Linked DNA regions of Arabidopsis thaliana. The protein of the gene in region 2 interacts with the protein of the main gene of each other region in a biochemical or structural test. Each region holds a gene or a part of one and is shown on either strand. Other genes may lie near its edges.

What was found.
Region 1: of the proteins of MPK16 (region 2) and AT3G27290, one has a biochemical effect on the other in vitro, tested with the Arabidopsis thaliana proteins (one large-scale study listed by BioGRID).
Region 3: of the proteins of MPK16 (region 2) and AGL76, one has a biochemical effect on the other in vitro, tested with the Arabidopsis thaliana proteins (one large-scale study listed by BioGRID).

Annotation. Positions count from the first base shown.
Region 1 is NC_003074.8:10,078,686-10,086,238, forward strand, and holds AT3G27290 (RNI-like superfamily protein), read right to left. Parts: upstream 2,849-7,553; 5' UTR 2,581-2,848; coding exon 1,915-2,580; intron 1,836-1,914; coding exon 1,353-1,835; 3' UTR 777-1,352; downstream 1-776. Other genes in the region: G6PD5 (glucose-6-phosphate dehydrogenase 5), read right to left, coding at 4,633-4,800, 4,946-4,991, 5,075-5,190, 5,304-5,374, 5,451-5,546, 5,674-5,821, 5,947-6,018, 6,170-6,206 and 7 more.
Region 2 is NC_003076.8:6,345,918-6,353,470, forward strand, and holds the start of MPK16 (mitogen-activated protein kinase 16), read right to left. Parts: upstream 2,351-7,553; 5' UTR 1,760-2,350; coding exon 1,736-1,759; intron 1,580-1,735; coding exon 1,171-1,579; intron 1,083-1,170; coding exon 955-1,082; intron 863-954; coding exon 803-862; intron 661-802; coding exon 511-660; intron 442-510; coding exon 286-441; intron 203-285; coding exon 1-202. Other genes in the region: MEF18 (mitochondrial editing factor 18), read right to left, coding at 6,854-7,553.
Region 3 is NC_003076.8:16,047,995-16,055,184, reverse strand, and holds AGL76 (AGAMOUS-like 76), read right to left. Parts: upstream 3,307-7,190; coding exon 2,149-3,306; downstream 1-2,148.

The DNA.
Region 1 (7,553 bases), on a different chromosome or scaffold from region 2:
ATTACAATTTGCTCCACCATAACCTTCGTTGTTACAACTCGTTCGGCACCTCCTAGCACCGTCTACCTTATTACACGTCTCTGGCGGTGCTTTGCTTGGATAATCATCACACAATTCCCAATTCATTGCTTTTCCTAATACAATAATTCGATCAATTACAAGTATTTATATCGTATTGATTATATATGCATATTTTTGTTTTTTTTCAATGAAAATATATTTGGTAGAAGATTTAATATTATTTACGATTTTATCTCCTTGTAGTGATTTATTTTACAGCTAAATTACAATTTTGACAAATTTCCTTAATTTTTTTTTTAAATGAGTATAAGAAGTTCCATTTTTTCAATATTTGTATATCTTGTAATTTATAAACCAAAAGTTTAACCGCAAATAACACCTTTTTTTTTTGTTGCATTAAGCATCTATCATTATAAATCAAACTTTTAGACATTTTGTTTTTCCTTTTATAAGTTTTTATTTTTCTTTGTTAATAGAGTGTTTTATGAATAATAAATCTAAGTGTCATATTGCTATATATCAGGAATTATTATTTCTAAAAATAGAAGAAGAAATGAGAGATAATCCGTAAAAAATGCCTATGAAATTGTTTAATGAAAAGAAACATTCATTATTAATTTATATCATAATTCTCTTTTTTCATATAACTTTGATATGTTTCTTTATTAAAAATATGTTATTTAAACGTAATAATTACCTACATGATATTATGCATTATACACTGGATGTACAAACTGCGAATAAGTATTGGAATATGAGAGGTATTATTAAGTAAACTAGGTTTGGATGAAGTGACTAGTGAGGATGGTTGGGAGATCTTGCAATGAAAGTTTGTGATCATGGGCTCATGTTTCCAGGGAATGTACAAGCAGGAGTGGATTGATAAGAGATTGATCCATTTTGAAAATTATACAAGTCATTTAACAAAAGCTACATATGGAGGAGATTAAAAGACTAATTAATGATAATGTAAAATAACTCTGATATATTCTTTATTCTCTTCTCTTTTCTTGTAAGTTCTACTTATTTCCCATTTGAATCCTGGTGCTTCAACTTTCAAGTAAAGCTCTAGTCTTTGCTTCTCTTCATCTCTCATGATCAAGTTTGACTCGAGTCCGTTGCAGAATCAAGTTTAGCTCAGATCTTTCATGATGCTGTAGATGAAGACTAAACACCCTTCTGAGTCTTATCATGTTTCCATTTTTTGTTGCAGCTCTTCTTATTGACTTAGGTTTGATACCTCAAGCACCAAGACTCTTCATTCTTCAGAAAACAGTGTATTGAGGATCAAAGTAATGTGTTAAGCTTCGGTTTTGACTTCAAATAAACTATTATAAGCGGTTAGACCTCTTCTCAATGCATACCACACAGCTGAATGCAAAACAGAACGGCTTGTTTTCACAGTCATTTAAGCAACTCCCACACTCATGGCAACGTTCTATGCAGACAACGCAAGCTCTGCAAGATGACTTAGAATAAGGATATTGACCCTTCAATGGACATGTATCTGCTGGACAATCAAATACCAGACTTGGTTTCTCACACCAGGGGCATATCTCGAGGTCAGTAACTCGATCATCCTCTAAATAGAATTCTGATCTACAAGACGTATAGAATCTCTTCTTCCTCTCTTGTAAACCCACTTTAGCATCTCCTCCTAGCAATAAGTTGAGCTCTTTAAACTGCTCCTTTGTGAAATACAACGCCCCACCAGTGATTAGGCTTTTGACTCCAAGACGGTTTGAAGATTTTAAGTCCCTTAAAGTTGACACTAGTCCTGCTGTGCTTAGTCTAAGACAACCAGATACACTCAGCTGCAAAAAAACAGACACACATGAACAAACAACACAGAATCATATAACAAGATTGGTTCCATCATTCGATCAAACTAACCTTAGTAAGATGTGGATTGCTAGCAAGAACTTGCTTCAAGCCATAATCAGTGATACCAACACATCCTCCAAGATTCAAACATCGAACACCGCCTAGAGCACGGCGTGTTAACTTCAAAAGAGACTCATCAGTAACTCTATATTGAAGAAATGAGTCATTAAGATCAATACTTGTCCAGAAAAAAGGTTCCTTTCCAACCGAATCACGCAAAGACCTACAAACTACTTCAACCGCAAGAATCTCTTTCAACTCTAGATATGGAAGAACCAACTCAAACGCGTCATGAGCTTCACCACCACCACCACCATCATCATCATCATCACCATCATCATCATCATTATTATAAAACCAACTTAGAGTCTCGAACAACATCTGATCAACAACACCAATTTCTTTCTGATTCTCATGAAACCAATCAGAGATTGTGTTCAAAGTCGATCTAACTCTCATACAAAACGGATCCTCAGGCAAAGTATGATCTTCTGAGACTAAACCAATCTGATTCTCATGAAACCAATCTGAGATTGAATTCAAAGTCGATCTAATGTTCATACAAAAAGGATCATCAGGCAAACCCACAAAATCATCCCCAAATTCGCCTAAACCCAATTCTAATTTTCTGTAATCGTTATAAGAACCTCGAAGCCTTTCGTAATTAACCTCCATTAACGAATCTCTCAATGAATTAAGGAAATCGAAATCTGAAACAGATCCAATGAAATAAATATATAAAAAAACGGCGAGAGAATGAATGAATGAATGAATGAATGAGAAGGAACGGGATCGCGTAATCAGCGGGAAAAAGGAAAGAGAAAGGATTCGAGAGGAAGAGGAAGAAGAAGAAGAAGGAATCAGAGAAAGAGTTTCAATTGCAAAGAAGATGACTTTTTTTAGGGCTTTTACTCTGTTGCGATTTTGGCGCGTGTCTAACTATAACTTCTAATTTAATAAGAACAAATAATTAATGAGTTTTTTTTCTTCTTTTTAAATTCTAATTAATGATTACGTCTCTAAATTAGATATTTTCATTCACTCTTTTTTTTTTCTTTATAAGTCAGATCTTCTAATTTATAATCTTTTCAAATTTGCAGGATCTTCTATTTTTTTGGGTTATTAGTTTTATTCCTTGTCCATAATCCTATTGATTAACTATTGTATTAAGTAATTTGCCATTTTGTGAACAAAAATTAAGAAGTTATTTACTTATTATAGATTTTGCACTTTTTAATAAAGGAATTTTTGTTAAAGGGCAAGATTTGATAATTTAATTAAGTGAATGACTTCTTGATTGTTGTTAAATAATTATACTTTTATTTTAAATATTTATGAATATACTTTTATTTTAAAATTTGGTATTTTCGTGAGTAAATAAATTAACTAGAACCAATGGAAGCAGCTTATTAAATGATGTTTAACTTTGTACCCTTAAATTAACTAGAACCCTTAAACAGTTAAACATCACTAGATTTTGACCCGCGGTATACCGCGGGGCTAGGTTTTTAATAAAATTTGTTATATAAAATGTATATGTAAATATTTGTTTTATTAATATTGTTTGCTTTGTTTAGTGTTTAAGATAATGTATATATAGATTTTAGTTGTTATATCTAGGATTTCATCCGTAGTATATCGTTTCGTATTATTATCGATCAAAACTCGTCATACCATCTAATCCTGCATATTGAAATTAAACATATCTAATAGATTTCACTTGTGGTATACCGTCTCGTAATACTATCGACCAAACCCTTCCTACCACAAACCCCGTTCAGTAAAATTAGACATTATTTTGTTATTTTTGTTTTAATAATACTTTAGTTTAAAAAATATTTAATTCAAATCAATTTAAAAGTTTTTTTTCAAATGGTTATTTAATTATTATAAAGTTTATATATTATAATATTATAAACACGTCCTACCATCTAGTCCTACTATCTAATCATGTTCGGTGAAATTATTTTTTTATTTTTTTTAATAATATTTTTATTAAAAAATTTATAATTTAAATCAATTTAAAGTTTTCTTTCAAATGGTTATTTAATTTTTAAATATTTTAACTATTTTGACAAAAATAATTAGGCCATGAAATAAAAGCATATTCTTTTGAATAAGATTTGCTTTGATTTGGTAGTTAATTTTTGCATTTAATAAGTCAGTGGCAGCCATTGTAAATAAGTTCTAATTGCAGGATTTATTTCACAAAATGGCTGCAAAAATGTATATATAGATTTGCGGTCAAAAAAGTTAAACATCATTTAAAATGAAAGAGAATGAAACAGTCGTAATGTGTTTTAATTTTTTTTTTTTTTTTTTTTCGTCGTGTTTTAATTTATTTTAGTAAGTATTATTGCCAATTTCTTAATTAAAATTCTATCTAGTTCAATTTCTCTTTTAATAACAAGAGCAGTTATTCTGTGTGTATACGTCGAATTCATGAGATTCAATCCTCTATTAAGCAGAATAAGATCTCTTAATTTAATTAGCTTTTCCACAAAGCTGTTTTGCATTATGTAAAAAAAGAAAACAAGGGACTAGTACAACAAAAACTACAAGGCATAAACAAACAATGTCCTAGTGAAGATCACTAGTATACATAAGATTCACTTAAACAAACTCCAAACTGGTGAAGAGTTTTTATTCAGCAAGCAAGGAAAAAAAAGAAAAAAAACCCTCTTATTTTGTGTGTACTCATCATCATCATCTCTATGATTATACCATTTACAATGTAGGAGGGATCCAAATGTAGCCATGAGTCTGCATATAACCAGCTTTCTTAAGTAGCTGATCTGCTTCCGCTGGGCCACGGCTACCTTGTTTGTATGGGACCGATTTCACTTCTCCCTTGTCGATCCTGTGAAGCAGTGGAGTGAAGATTTCCCAAGCTGCCTGTTTTGTGATTGATCACATACATATATGTGTTTAAAGATCTTCTCAATATATGGTAAAAATCAGATTGTGGAAGTTTCAAACAAAGTTGAGTGATGTGAAGTATCCAGGGGTTCTAAGTGGTGAAGTAGAAAGGTAAAATTACCTTTAATTCGTCTCTGCGAACAAAGTGTTGTTGGTCGCCTCTGATTCTGCAGAGAGATACACAATAAGGGTCAACTAATGAGATGAATGAAGGTTTTGATATACAGAACTATTGTTACTAGATTCTTACGTGTCAAGAATAAGGCGTTCGTAAGCCTCTGGAATTGAGACATCTTGGTAACGCTGCTTGTACGATAGGTCTAGTTCACTCTGCACGGTTTGCATCTCCAGACCCGGTTGCTTCACCTGCGCAGCAAAGCCAAAAACTTCAGATTGAATGAATAAATGAATGAACAAAAGTGAGTCTCTCCTTTTTTCTTATAGTATCGTAGATTATGGTTGGTTCATCAGGTACTTACAGTTAGCTTCATGTACATGGCCTCTGAAGGCTGCAAGCGTATAACAAACTCGTTCCTCCCTTGGTTTTGACCTGTTGCATTGCATGAGAGGTTAGACCAACCAAATTTCAAGTATTTGGGAAGGTTTGATTTGGTCTCGATACAAACATTTGAATATGTCGCCAGGAACATCTTTAAACTGAATGCGAATATCTGCCTTCTTTGAACTCATTGCCTTTCCGGCCTTCAGTATAAAAGGAACACCTGAGAGATACATCAATACACAAGTTACTAACCACTACAACTAAAAAGGGATTTTGGCACATGATGTTCCAAACTTGATCTAGAAAATGAAAAGATGAAGAGTGAAGGGGACACATGCACACAGTACCTTCCCATCTTTCATTGTTAATGCGAAGAATTGTTGTGGCAAACGTTGGAGTGTTTGAGTCATTTGGAACAGTTGGATCATCTCTATATCCTTCATATTGTCCAAGAACCACCTCTTCATCTTTTATGGGAATCACAGATTGAAGAACCTGAAGTTCATTTAAGAAATCAGTCAGTTGTTATTAATATTAATTGGCTGAAAATGCAAATGAAGATATCACTTGATTCTACAAAAGTTTGAAACTAAAGATGTGATCAAGAAAACTGTAATCACCTTCACTTTCTCATCCCGGATGTGCTCGGGTTTAAGAGAGATTGGTTTCTCCATGGCGACAAGGCAAAGAACCTGTGGTACACTAAACTTAGTTAATACATAAAAGTATCTGCAGTTACAAGCAAGGAAAAACAAGGAAAAATGTCATATGGAGGTGGCTTTCAACAAGGAAATTTCATGTTTTTCTTCACAACAGACAAATATTTCAAATGTAAACACTTGCCTGGAGCAAGTGGTTTTGAATAATATCACGAATGATTCTGAAAAATAGAAGATTATATATACAAGTCATCAGAATGCAATGATACTTCTGTCTCATGTATATCATATTCAAATGAAACACTGAGAAAAGCTTACCCGTATTCATCAAAATATCCACCGCGACCTTCAGTTCCAAAATCTTCTCTGAAAACGATCTGCAAAAAGAAATTAGAGATTTATGTGGATGGATTCAACTCTATACAAAAGTTTAGAAATATTTGTGCTAAGCGATCAAACTCTCACCTGTACGTTTGCAATATTGTCGCGGTTCCATAGTGGCAAAAACAAGCGATTGGCAAACCGAAGAACCAACTGCACTAACGATGAATGCGTTAGATTATATCTTTATTTGTCTAAATTAATAAACTAATGACTAGAAGCAAATATGTGTTACCATGTTTTGAACTAACTCTTTTCCCAGATAGTGATCAATACGATAAATCTGTGGTTCTTCAAACAAGGCTCCAATCTGAGAACTCAGCTGCTCTGCAGATTCCAAATCCTTTCCAAATGGTTTCTCAACAACAATCCTAGTCCATCCACCAAGATCAGCTGGAAACAATATACATTTCCAATGAAGTTATTACCAAATATTCTCTATCTAATAATGTTAACAAAATCTAACAGTAAACTCACATTTGTTAGTGCACCATGCCTTGATCATCTTGCTTACAGGAGGGTATACAGACGGAGGAAGTGCAAGATAAAACAATCTCCTCGAAGATCCTTCAGCAGTCTTTTTAGATATCTCGTGCTCCAAAATCGCCTTGTCTAATCTCTTAAACCCTTCCTCAGAATCATAAGGTCCACTCACATACTTAATCTATACAAGAAAATTGTATTTTCAGTTACCAAAAACAAACGGGACTATAACTGTGTAAATGAAACAGACTAACCAGCTTTAGAAACTTGGACAAAGCTTCTGTTTTCTTAGATGCATTCTTCTCATCAACAAGATATCTACATAAAACATGATAATATAAGCTTTTCATTGTGTCAGATGCAACAAAAAGGCGGACCGGATCGGATCATCTAACCCGCGGATTTTATCTCTAAGCTCCTCATCAGTAATCTTACTCCTTGCATATCCAAATATATGAACTTCATCTGGATTAAGAAATCCCTGTGCTCATGTAAAACCAATAAACACATCAAATAAATAAAAACAAGTGACATTGAAAACAATAAAAGATAAAAAAGATTCTTGTTTGTTTAAAAAAACCTGATGAAATAGATTGAAAAGTGCAGGAAAAGTCTTCTTCTTAGCAAGATCACCAGAAGCACCAAGAACAATGATAGAGAGACTCCCAGTTTCCGTGACTGGATTGTATTCTTTTACAAACGAA
Region 2 (7,553 bases):
TAAAGTTAGTTGGCTCTGATCCATCCAAGTATTCTTTCAGCATCTTTGGGTGGTACTCCAGAGACTCTCTGTATATGAGCTCTCGGACGTCTTCTTTTGTGATCCTCCGCCTTTCAAACTCAAATTCCAACTTTGTGACAGGTTGAGCAGAAGGCTCTCTTTCAACCTTAGCTAAACCCTTGAAGTACACATCTGCAAGCGCCTGAGGTAACACATAAAACCATTTAGTTAGCTATAACCAAAGTTACATCATAAGGAGTGTAAAGAACGAAATGTATGAACCACCTCTTCAGCTGTAGGCCGGTCCTTGGGTTCAAAAGACAACATCTTTTCTAGAAGACGAAGAGCAAGAGGATCAGTATGTGGGAACTTATGTGAAAAAGGAATAGGCTTCTTCTTCCTCATGCTGCTCAAGTATCTTCGAGCTTTCTCGTTCCTAACCTGTTTCAGTGTAAGAAATTCAGCCAAAAAAAGAAACAATGCTTAAGCATTGTGGAAAGGAACACATACCCTTCCAATGGCTTCAGCAGATGGAGTTCCCAGCATATCCGTCATCAGATCCAATTGATGGACCACATTTTTCCCGGGGAAAAGAGGTTTCCCTGTTAAGAGTTCTGCAAAAATGCACCCGATGCTCCATATATCTATTGCCGGTGTATACTGAACAGAAGCATAGATAAAGAAAAAAAATGTTACCATAAAATTTTATAATCTGAATGAGAGAGCTATAGTGTCTACTGACTAGATTCCCTATGAAAATTTGAAACATTCGATGAAAGTATATATACAAAATCATGGTCACCTTTGAGAAAAAAGATCCACATAGTTCTGGAGCCCTGTACCATCGAGTAGCTACATAATCCTGCGATCAGAAAGCAGTAGGAATAAAAAATTGGTTTCATACCAAAAAGAGTAAACTTGTAAAGAGTAAGCATTTAAATTACTACTACTCACAGTCCAGAATATCGCAGTCGGTGTATCATTGAATGCGACTCTTGCAAGTCCAAAATCACAGATCTTGAGTTTGCAATCAGCATTTGCCAATATGTTTTTGGGTTTAAGATCCCGATGAAAGACATTAGCTGAAAGGAAGAGAAAAAAAAAGTATTTTCAGAAAGATAATCATAAACTTATACTAATCAATGAAATTTTATTGCTCGCTAGCTTAACCTGTGTGTATATACTTGAGGCCACGAAGAAGCTGATAGAGGAAAAACTGATAATGCTCAGGAGTCAAATCATCATTTGCCTTAATAACCTGATGCAAATCAGATTCCATAAGCTCGAAAACCACGTAAATGTCTCGAAACTCTCTTCTTGAAGGCGGCAACAAGATGTGTTTGATCTCAACAATGTCAGGATGGCGTAAGAGTCTAAGAAGTTTGATCTCACGAAGAATGCGAGTTGCATCCGAAACATGCTCAAAGATATCATTGATTTTCTTAATCGCAACTTTCTCTCCGGTATGTGTATCGTAAGCAGAACAGACAACTCCATAACTTCCTTTACCAATCACTTCCTCTATTCTGTATCTGCTTCCTTCACCATATTCCGTGAAGAAATCTACCTCAACTGATGACTGAATATACAGAAAAATCTATTGTCAATATCAAAAGCTTCAATACAGAGAAAGATTAGGACTAAACTAAAAGGCAGTAACAGTAAAAAGGATTGCTACAGATCCTAATCAGTTCTAATAAGCAAATCTGATACATAAGAGATTGAAAAATTGGACCTTTTTGCGGTGATCAGGCTGCATCTTCAGCTACAGGGCATTCAAAGGACGCTTACGAAGACCAAATGTAATAGCTTCTGAAACCCAAACTTAGTGAGCTTTTGAATCAAAAAAATGCAAAGACTGAGAATTTTAGTTCCAAAGGCAATGTCAAAAACAGAGAGCTCTATATCCAAATCCCGAAATCCAGAATCGATTGAAACAAATCAGAGTAGTTCCCGAGACCAAAAAAAAGGAGGCAAATTTATGGGGTGAAACAAGGAATAACCTAATCGAGATTTCTTTGCTTTTTGAAGTGAAATCAAAGAGATCAAAAGAAGGAAGCGATGGGTAATTTGAGAATCACTGAGATTGAAGAAAGACGAGGTTTTTATCTTCTTCGATCAATCTCTCTGCTTGAAATGGCTAAAAGGAAAAAGGAGAGAGTTTTTGAAAGTCGAGAGAAGCTTTTATGGTTCAGAAACCCAAAAATGATTCTTTTGAGCTAATAAAATTTCTTTACAGGATCTGAAATCTCACGAAGCAGACGAAGAGGCAAGTTTATTTGCTCACTTTTGTAGAAGAAAGTGTAGAGAGGAGAGATCTATGAGATGAAGAACAGAACAGAACAAATTATTAAAATATTATTATTATTCGTTTCTTTTATTGTGATAATTGAAAAAAGCGGATAAGTGGAGTCTGATTATCGTTGTACGAAAACTCCAATTTGCCCCCCAAGGTTTATGGGTACTTGCGACTTTTGTCTTAAATCTAGCTTTTGGATAATGTCCAAACGTCGAATATAATACAGTGTGGATATTTTTGTATAAACTATTTTAATATATGCTCTTCTTAATGAATAGATATCCGATTTATTATGGATTAGTGATGACTTATAATTATTACAATAATAAATAGTTCGTTTACTTTATAATTTTCTTTCGTGTCATAGTCGTTGTTAAAGACATATAAATGAAGTGGATTATCCTATATTTCGAATCCGATTGAAATGAGTGGTTTAAATTTTTTTTCGTATGCAGTTAATGAGTAATCTTACTTATTTTTAAGATATAGAATTTGACCGATAAGACATACTTAATTATCTAGAGACAATATTTATGAGTTATGTACAATGGTACAAGAAACTTACAAAAACTTATATATGCAATCGTCAATCTAGTATTTTATTTGAAATATGTATTTCGTATCTAATATCTTCTGTCTTTGGTGGGTTCTTTGAAATTGCTTCATAACTGTAGGTGCTTGCATGCGTAAACTTTTGCATGGTTGGAAAAATTGCATTTGCATCGATTTCAAACGTATAAATAAAGCGAAGCTTTAAATCTTCAAGTAGATGTCACTACAAGAAAACACGCCAGTTGCGAGGGAAGAAACCGTCGCTAGTCTCTCGCAAAAAGCATTTAGCGAGGGAATTGCGACGAACTCCAGTTCCTCGCAAAACGCGCGTCGTAAAATCAAATTCGTAGCAAGTTCCTCGCAAATGTTGCGAGGAACAAGTTGCCTCGCAAAACACACGCAATTTGCAAGGGAAGCAATCCGTAGCAAATTCACAGCAAATTTCGGGTCTCGCAAGTTTCTCGCTAGTTGCGACGGACGACCAGACTCGCGAAGCACACGCAATTTGCGAGGGACGTACTCGGTAGCATATTAGCTGCAACAGTAGCCTCGCTCTTTCCTCGCAAGTTGCGAGGGAATACTTCAGTAGCAAAGTAGTCGCAAATTCTTTGTCCCGCTAATGCCTCGCAAAATTTGCGATGGATTTGCGTGGCTTTTATCTGTAGTCGCAAATCCGTAGTAAAGTTTGCGATGGATTCGCGGTAAATAAGCGACTCTTTTCTGTTTTGTTTTAAGCATGATTACTGTTGAATATAGGGATTACTGTTCTACTTAACAATATTTAATGGTTATCTTAATTGGATTTTTATACTAAACTTTGAAGTTGAATACTAATTAAGAAACCTTAAACTCATATTTAAAAGCTGAAATTTTAGGTTTCAAGTACAGAAAAAGAAACTGAATACAGAATGTTAGAAGGCCAAATAATTTTACATAACAAACCAACAAAAGATTCAAGTTTTGATGAGTGAAAAAGAAACTTAATACAGAATGTTAGAAAGCCTCAGATGGAGATGACCCAGTGTTTGGGTTAGCTACAACAGCCTCAGGTTCGACAGCTTCAGGTCCGATCCCAGCAGTTGTGGCATTAGGCGCATCAGGTGGATTGGAGCTGACTGGTTCAGTTCTTGAAGAGGATCTGACTCGAAACAAGGCAGCAAACTCTGGATCCTTCTTGGCAAGGTAATCAAAGTATGCGTCAAAACTGGTGATCTTCTCAGCCTGGTTTGCAATGAGGGCTTCAACAGCAGCCAGCTTCTGGGAAAGCACAACCGGATCATCTCGAGGAAGCACCGGTCCGGCATGCGCCGAAGACGCCTCATGCTGCAATGAACCAGCCCCATAAATCCTGCCTTTCTTCTTAGGAGCAACCTGTCACAAACTCATAACCAAAACAAGCAAACATGATCAAAGCAAAGTCGAAACATATAGACATAATGCAAAACTCTTAGGCCGAAAATACAATGATATTATTCAGACCAACAACACAACTGAATCAGGCCAAAAACACAAAGACACAACATATTCCTTAATTAATTCTGTCCATGAATCCATAGAGTTTTCACTTAAGTTATTATCAGCTTTAATAGTCATCATCCTAGATGCCAAAGATAACTTAGAATGTCCTTCTCTACATCCCTCGTAGAGTGGTTGATTTACAGCATCTAACATATCGTAAAAATGTTGAGCATCTAGGTTGGGTTCTTCACTAATATTTTCAGGAAATGAAGCAATAGTTTCATGAAATGCATCTGTAACCATATCATGAAATCTATTTTCCTAGTTATGCCCATAACCAAATTGATCAGGTACTTCCTGACCATAATTCGCATCATTATTAAAATTACTAGGTTGCTCGACACCACAATTTGTATTACTAGTTCCTGCGCTATCTCTACAACCATCTCCATGACGTAACCATACATAGTAGTTTGGCATAAATCCTCTATTATAAAGATGCTTCTTCACTACATTAAATTCCAAATATTTCTCATTGAGACACTTACGACATGAACAGAATATTGTACCGTTCTCACGAACAAATGGTTCGTTTGTCGCTTGATACATGAAACCGCGCAGTCCGTCGTAATACTCTCTCGTCACCTCCCCGGTCGCTTGATCTCTATGATTATACATCCAACTTCGTAATGTGTAAATCTCATGCTCTCCGCCCCAAGACATTCTTATTTTTGTAATAAGTTTTTTTTTAAAAAAAATATTTTTTTTTGTTTGTAAGTAAATGTTGTGATTTGAGTTATGATTTCTTACACATTTCATTGGCTATTTATAGATGTCCCAAAAAAAAATTGCGAGGGATTTGCAAGGCATTTGCGAGGGATTTGCTAGGATTTTGCTTGAAATTTGCGAGGGAATCCCACCTACCAACCAGACTGGTAAGATAATTAAAAACATGTTCACCTAACCCGCCAAGACTCGCTACTCTGTCGCAAAAGTTGCGACAGAATAATCGATCCTCGCAAACTCGTCGCAATTTGCGAGGGATTTTGGTTACTCGTAAATCCCTCGCAATTTTGCGATGAGTTTGCGAGGATTGATGCTTTCCACGTATATTACTCGCAAACGTCTCGCAATTTGCGAGGAATTCTGTTTACCCGTAACTCCCTCGCAATTTTGCGACGAGTTTGCTGGGATTGGTGCGGTCCACGCAGACTTCTCGCAAACGTCTCGCAGATTTGCGAGGGATATATTCGTCGCAAATTTTGCGAGGGATTCGCGAAGTTCTCTTCTTCCCTCGTAATACACTTGCAAATCCGTAGCAAATTGCGAGGGATGTTTTCCACCGCAAATTTCCCTCGCAAATCGCCTATTTTCTTGTAGTGTGTATACTAAGAGAATACTCTTAATCATCGGTATTTTTGTGGATCCATTAACATAGTATTATCATTTTTATTAAGAATCACAACAACAATCTTATCATTCTGCTCTTAACACCCATTTGACCAACAATTCATCATACATGTATTGCATATTTTCTCAAAAAAAAAAAAAAAATTTACAGTTTTTTAAATATTCTGATTTTTATACTTATATTAATAGCAAAATGTTCTCTTTAATTTGTTTCTTACTTGAAAATGTATCATGAGCCTATGACAATTGACAACTAAATATGATTACACAGAAATTATTGTAACGAGATCAAATAATAATTTTACCAAAAGACAGTCTTAGTTATTCGTACTAATTTAAATAATAAATAGAAGCAAAATTATTTGTTCATTTTCTGATAATATGATACTATATTTTTTAAAATAAGATACTATAGCTTTTGAAATGAAATAATTATTAATTAGTTAATAAACAAACCCAAAGGAAACCAAGGGAAGAACGAAGGGTCACGAAGAACCGTGGAAATGCTTCAGTCCATGTGCATCACATGACTTTTATTATTAGGGATCATAAAATACCAAAAACTAATAGTGTGGACTAATAATTATCTTTTCTTTTGTTAACTTCTCTAATGATTGTTCCTTTTCAGCATTAATAAATAGGTAATTCTTTGAATGATTCATAAAGAATGTATTATTTAACACAGTAATGAATCATATTTAAAAGGGGCCAAACTTGAAGATTCTTTATTTTTCTTTTAGCATTTTAAACCCCAAGGCTTGATCAATCTCAAAGACTTTTAAATACATTTGATTACAAATATCTTCAGATCATACTACTAAATCATATAATGACTTACAAAGTGAGACATTAAATAACGATATTTCAAAAGATAATAATATTAAAAAGAAATAATTTGACTTTTCTCAAATGAAAAATTCAAATTATTTATTTTAATATTACTTAAAAATTTGGGTCAAATTATGTATTTCTTATGATTAATTTTCGTTGAGAAAATAAAGATTATAAAAATTCACGCGCTTTCGTTTGGGCAATAAATAGCCAGCTCTGCTTTGGTAGGACCCAATAAAAACACGAACCTAACTCGTTTCTAATAGGCCCATACAATAAGCCCACTACGAGACTAAATACAATTCACACAACACCACTGAAGGCACGTGACCACTCAACATCTCTCGTTCGCATCTCTTCTCTAACCAAAGCTACATCTTCCCATCTCCCTGCGTCTGCATAAACGTTCGAAAGCATAACTTTGCATCCTCCATGAGATGGATCAATCGCTGCTAGCTCAGTAGCCGCAAGTTCGGCGATCTCGACGTTCCCGTGAGTTCGTGAAGCTGATAATAACATCCCCCAGATCATTACATCAGCCTTTACAGGCATCTTCTTGATCATTTCTTTAGCTTCCTCTAATCTCCCAGCTTTCCCCAATAAATCAACCATACATCCATAATGTTTGATGTCTGGCTCGATCCCGTGATCGCTCTTCATGCTTTCGAAATACGTTTTACCTAACTCCACTAGCCCTGCATGGCAGCATGCGCTCAAGACACCGACAAAAGTGATGCTGTTCGGTTTGATGGGGAGAGATTGGAGATCGGAGTAGAGATCAAGCGCTAGTTTTGCATGGCCATGTGTCGCTGAGCCGCAAATGATGGCGTTCCAGGGAGAGATTGTAGAAGAAGAAATGTTCTTTGTTTGGTGGAAAATGTTTAGAGCAGTTTCGATGCTTCCACATTTGGCGTACATGTCGATTATAGCAGCGGTTAGATTGTCGTTGGGAGGAATCGTGCTAAAGTTTAGATAATCATGTGCTCTCTTCCCTTCTTCCAAC
Region 3 (7,190 bases), 9.7 Mb from region 2:
GTGGTTATAGGCTGTTTATTTCAAGTTTTTTGCTTACTCTTTTTGCCTTTTTTCTAAAGTTAATATTCGTTGTGCCAATTTTCTTCAGAAAAGAAATCAGGAAGTAGAGAGTAGAGACGCATTCTGTTCACACTTCACTCTCAACTTAGAAACAATTATGCGTCAAAACTCAAAACTAGTAAAAAGCATATCAAAATACAATTTCGAAGTAATTGCCTTCGTATTTGGTTTGATTCATGTTTTAAATTTTCGTATACACTAACTTTGTATTTATAGCAAATAAGAATAACCAATTTTCTTTAAAAACGTTTATTTTATATGCAACCTTACTCATTTTTCTTTGTTAGATTTTCGCTATGCATACATGGACCATGGTTGATTGTTGCATGTATGTATACTATACTAACGAATGTAATTTTGATGATCTCATCTTGGGCCGAAGCCAATGCAACTATTTTTGTGTTGAAATTCCATTGAATCTTAAAGCCTATAAATACTTTTTAAGTCGTGTCTAGCTCACAATCAAAAAGCAAAGTCTCACTTAGAAACCAGATTCTAAAAATATTTTGTAAATGTTTGTCCATCTCAATATCAAAAACATTATCTCCAAAACGAAATGTGAAAATAATGTCAAATGTTTTACGATATAATCTTTAATTCATAGATATTTCCTAATCTAAAAATGCATAGTAATTTGGTAAACGCGTTTTGTTTTCAATCTTTAATTCATAGATATTTCATATTTAGCAAAAACAACGAATGTATTATGCGTAGTGACTAGTGAGAAATCAGAAATATATAAAATTAGCTTTTAGTTATGTTATCTATGGATGATTAATGAAAAGTTTTGGTCTATTAGCTGAGTATAGGTTAACAACAACAATCATATGATACATAGAGCTACTTCTTACCTCTCTCATTGCAATACATAAACAATAAGCCTTGTCCAAATTCGGCAGCTTTATCATCATATTGTGTACACCATAACAAGGATCAGAGGTTGGGTTGATACAAAAATGCTCTTAAAAGTAACCATAGCTCGGAAGCAAAGATCACTTGCAAGTGCAAAATGGTGCACCATATAAAATCCACAGTAACTACATCTACGGTGGCCACGTCTCAAACTACATGAAGCTGTTGGGGGAATATGAGCCAGAGAAGTTACAAACTCTCTTCAGTGCTTACATTAAGAAAGGAGTTGAAGCTGAGAGCATCGAGGAGATGTACAAGAAGGTTCACGCAGCTATCCGAGCAGAACCCAACCATAAGAAAACCGAGAAACCAGCTACCAAGGAACACAAGAGGTAAAACAAATAATCATTACTGGCTTTAATCTTCTTGTTGTGATTGGTGTGTCTCACTTGGTTCTTGATTGATTGTGATATCAAACAAAACAGGTACGACTTGAAGAAACTGACGTACGAAGAGAGGAAGAACAAGTTGATCGAGAGAGTTAAGGCATTGAACGGAGCATCTGGTGACTGGTGATGACATGAAGATGCAGAGTAAATCACCTTTCCAGCTTGTTTGTCTCACGCCTTTACTTATGTGTGTTTCAGACTAAAACAGTCAGTTTTTGTTTTCAAATTTTAGTTGCGTTGGAAGATTTTAAATTCGAGGATATTTTTTGTTTGAAGAATTTATTATTGTTCTCTTATTACACCATCATAATTTTCAGAGATGAGAGTGAACATTAGTGATGGAGATAGTATACAAGTTACACACTAGTCAAAAATGATTTACTTGCCCTACTTTGTGATACAATTCTAATTGGATGTTACTAATAGGCAAGCTTCTCTTACTTTACTACATGTTTCATCACCACAATTGTTTGATTGCTTTGCTTGTTTCTGCTACTTGCTACTGTATTGCTTGTTGTTTTGAGTTTCGTCGATGTGCCTCAATTTAACATGTTAGTTAAAGATTGCTCGAGTTTTTATATCATATATATGTAATAACTAAACCGAAAATACAAGTTGTAACTTTAAAACTCAGAACGAAATCTCTACAGATTAACAAGCGTACTCAAAAATAAAAATTAACAAGTGAATCAAGACTCAAGAAAACAGCTTCACTATCTCTGTTCCGCTACTTCACCATTGATCATAGCCATAGAGTTCATGCTGCATCAACTGATTCAACCAGGGGTTATTCACAGATTCTTGTTCTGTGTTTGAGACGCTGTTGAAAGCTGTTGTTAATGATGTTGCCCATAGACATGTTTTGATCACACCCATAAAGTTCATGCTGCATCAACCCAAAATTAGTCACAGATTCTTGAACCGCTTCTTTGTTTGAGACTTGAAAATTGTTGTTGGTAAAGCACATGTTCTGCTCATAACCACAAAGCTCCTGCTGCATTAACTCAGATTGTCGTTGGTTATTGACAGATCCTTCTACCGCCGAGTAATGTTGTGCCTTTGAGACGCAAGGATGTTGAAAGCTGTTGCTATTGATGTTACCCATACACATGTTTTGATCACAACCATATAACTCCTTCAGCATCAACTGATTCATCCCAAAGTAGTTCACAGATTCTTGTACCGCTTCTTTCTTTGAGAAGTAAGGAAGTTGAAAATTGTTGTTGGTGATGTCACCCATCCTCATGTTCTGATTCTGATCATAACCATCCTGCTTCATTAACTGATTCTTCAACTCAGATTGTTCAAGTAACGCTGAGAAATAATTCTGATTGAAATTTGATGCAGAGACTGAGATCTGAGACAGAGTATTGTCTCCATGGTTATACATAAACAGCGAAAACTGTCTAGGGTTCAAAGATTGGGTCTGATGATTCAAAGAGGATGGTGTTAAACTCTGATGATCCGGTTTTGTCTGTTTCTGCGACTCAAGAAATCGAAGCCTTTCTTGGAATTTAGAGACATGGAGTTTTAAGGACTGAGTCAGTTGAGAAACTTGGTCGGGAGGGTAATGATCAGCGAGTGGATACTTTAAAACATTCACGTTCTTCTTAAGACAAGTCTTCCTCTTATTGTTCGGATTCTTCAAACCCTTCTTCTTCTTCTTCTTCTTCTTGTTCAGGAACCCATGAAGATTAACGCTTTTCTTGCTTCTCAAGGCTTCGTTTAATTGACTATACCTCAGAGCAATGTCTCTCACTTTCTCTTTCTCCTTAGGCCATGTCTTAAGTTCTCCGTCTGGTCCGTAATAGATGACGCACGCTTCGATATCACAGAGAGTGCAAAGCTCTGAAGCTTTCTTGAATATAGTCTCAAGTCTGTTACTCAAACTTGTGGAAGCGAGTGAATAAGAAGAAGAGGAAAAAGGTAATGATCGCATAGTCATCTTCTTGTTGGTTTCGAAGACAAACTCTCTGTTTTTTTCACGTTCAAAGTTAAGAGAAAGCACGAAGGCGAAGAAGAATAAAATTGAGAGAGTGAAACTAATGTATTAGGTTTGGAGAGTAAAATCATATATTTATAGATGTAGAAGTAAAGATTTGGTTTTCATAACCACTCACGCTCATCGGTAAGAAAAGGAAATACGAGTATAGATTTGATTTCCGTATTTTATAGATTTAATAAAAAGAAATTTTCACTGGATGAAAAAAGAATTGCTCTCATGGTTTGTCAAAGTGAGATATGGTTTTTACCGTTTGTCTTTTCAGTTGTTTTCAGACTAAAATACCCTTAATGGGAGCAACCAAATCACACAGCACTTGATTTCGGTTTAGTTTTTCTGGTTTTGTTTTGAAACTTAATGGTTTACCCTTAATGGTTTTGTGATTTTGGTTTATCCTTAATGGTTCAGTTTTGAAAAAAACAAAAAAAAAACACTGAAACAAAGAAACAAAGAAGAAGAAAAAGAGAAAGAGACGGAGTAATTCGAGAGAGAAGTAGAAAGAAGTTCAAAATTCATTATCCACTCCTTCATATTTCGACATCTCTCCATTGAACTCCAAAATTGAGGAACAAATTTCTTGTTTTCAGAGATGAACAAAATGCAAAAAAAAAGCTCCTAGATACAAACACTTTAGCTTTTTAAACTAAAGATACTCTAAGTTTACAAGATTTATTTATAAATAGTAATCAAAACGTAAAAAAATGAGATTTTGAGAAAACTGATAAAGACGGCCGCAAAATTAGGTTTGCAGAAAAGGATACACAGGTTGAAGATGACTGGAAAATTACAATTATACCCTTCATCGAATTTTTTCTGTGTACGTACACGAAATTATTTATGGAACATATATGAGACGATTTCTAATAATTCAAACTATTTTATTACGTATTCTTATATCTCAATAATCTCAATACATACATAATAATTAAATAAAAATAGATGGTGAAATAATGTACGTACATTTTTGTTGGTAAATTAATGTATGTACATGTGTAATAATATACGTACATCTTTGTTTGTGAATGAAATTATTAAGAAAAATTTATTAATACAATATTAAACCAATATTGGCAGTGGCTGAGATAAGACATTGTTTGTTGTATGATTTTTCTGTTCTTAAAAACACTTCCCAATCTATAGTGTAGGTACATTGGTACAAACCATGTTGACACATACTTCTTCGAGTCACAACTGGTGTACGGTCACCCGAGTGAGAAATGTTATCTCCGCCAGGTACACGCTGACTTGTGTACGTACACTCTGCCAACAGACGACTGAATTCCCCTGGTGTGAGAATGACGTTCTCGTCAACATTCCCTATTCCATATTCTTCTACAATTACATCGTTCCACTTGTTGTAATCATAATCTTCGCCACTACTTTCACTACCATCAATAGTAGGATCGAGGGTACTTCCCCCTATAGATCCATCGTCACCCTGATAATCATCATACCCACCACCATCTTTGTTGTCCCCCTCCTCTTCATCCTCATTTGTTTTATCGTCTTCATCGTCGTCTTTCTCATCTACGGCCTCATTATTTTCATCAACATTTGAAACACTATCACATACACGGTCACTTTCAGCATCATCACCATGAGTCCTAGAGACATTATTATCGGGTGTCTTGACGGTTGTAATGAAAGAGACAAACAAATTGAGAGAAGGATACCGACCACGAATTAAAAAGAACGTATCCAACCCCACTTGACTGTCAATGTAGACAGGAGGGCGTTTAGTATCTATCAGCACTAACATCTCTCCCGGCATCCAGTAACTAATTATGGGATTGATCTCTATGGATTTCAAACTGAAAGCCTCGCTTAGTGTACGTACAAATTCTGTGTACGTCCTGTTTTCCTTAACACGTACACAGCGACCAAACATGTCTTCCTTTGGTTCAAATTTCCATTTTTCTTATTTGCATCTCCACTCACCGACCATAGTAAATACGGGAATATCCATTACCCAACTGCATCATAAATTCAGGAGAAACCCATTAAATGCAACTGAAAACATGATTGTACACACTTATAAACATATATATTTACACATTTAGCATTTTCAACCAACAAAATTGGAAATAAAATTTTTTTGGGTTTTTCTATAAAAAAACAAAGTTGATTTCGAATACAATGAAGATCATAGCGTGTTATAACAAAAAAAATCTTTAAAACTTCATTACTTACACGATAATGCTTATCTTGGCTCCAAACTTCGTAAATAAACAAGATCAACACTTCTTGAGCATCAATGTACGTTCGCAATTAATGTTTGTTCCTGGGTTCATCTTTAACTCAACAATTATTATCAATAATTTTATAATATAATAACATGTAATGATGATTTTGCATTAATTATAACAAGAGTCACGTCTAAACTTTTTGGGCCATTAAATGTTGATGTCATTTCGTTTATAATGAAAAAATCTCCCTTCTAACTGTAAAGCGCGCTCCTCAACGTGAAACAAAAATATCTCTAACTAAACCGGAACAGTGTACCTAACTAAACCTGACTAACTAAACCATACATTCAACAATTTCTCATCTGTAGCAGCAAGGGCAAAATGGTCAAATTTCAGTTGAAAAGACAAAACGTGAAAACCACCTTTCACTTTTGCAATCCCTGAAAATAAAACATGGTCAAAGGGTGTGCCCTGCAAATTACCCTTTAATAAAATCCATTGATATCAATCGAGATTACAAAGTTATTATACAAAACTATAAAAAAAACATGTAAACAATATCCCATTAGGATTGGTTCGTTTGAGTTTTAATTAATTTCGAATGACAAAAAAAACTATAAAAAAAACAAATTATTACATAAGCATATATTTGTGTCCTACTGTATGATGAGAACGATATACAAAAGAAGAGAATTTGACGATACTTTCCGTAGATAAGCCTTATTCGCTAACAGATTAGTGAATCTATTTTTTTTCTTCTCTATATTTGATGCCATATAATGAGAAAAATACACAAAAGAAGAGAATTGGGTGAACGACCTGTGTCCCCCTCGGAAGTTTCATATAGCATTAGAACTACACAGAATTCCAACCTCGATCTTGGTCCACACAAATAGAAAGTTCTAATCCTATTTCTCCCTAAATTGAAAGTTCGAAACCTCAAAACACATAAACGTTTTTTTAATTGGTTTATAACGACCTGTGTGTTTGAGGTTTCTAACTTTCAAATTAGGGGAAATAGGACTAGAACTTTCCATTTATGTGGACCAAGATTGAGGTTGAAATTCGGTGTAGGTCTAGTGTTATATGAAACTTCCGAAGGGCACACAGGTCGTTCACCCAAGAGAATTTGACGATGTTTTTCGTAGATAAAACTTATTCGCTAACAGATTAGTAAATCCATTATTTTCCTTCTCTATGTTTGATCTCCCTCTAATGCGAATTGTGAAATTTATATAACTAGATTTGTATGATATGTTATTGAACTTTTGACAAATAATGAATAACGAAACAATCACTCTAGTAACACCAAATTTAGTTAAAATTATATTTGCAAATTAAAGTAATAATAGCAACAATTAACAAACGTATTACCAACTAATTTACCCTAGCATAAATTTCTATTGGTTGCTGTCAAAAAATTTAAAATATATATAGTGGTTAGGAAGACATATAATCTCTGGTTTACACGAAATTAGGATTTGGTTCGAATTCGGTTTTTGGGTTTAACGAGAGAGTAAACCAGATTCCGCCGGAGGTGCAAATTTAAATTTTAAAACCAAAATCCGAATTCGAACCAAATCCCAAAGTGTAAACCAGATTATAATCGCCAGAGTTTCCAAAAGTCTCTCCGTTTTATCG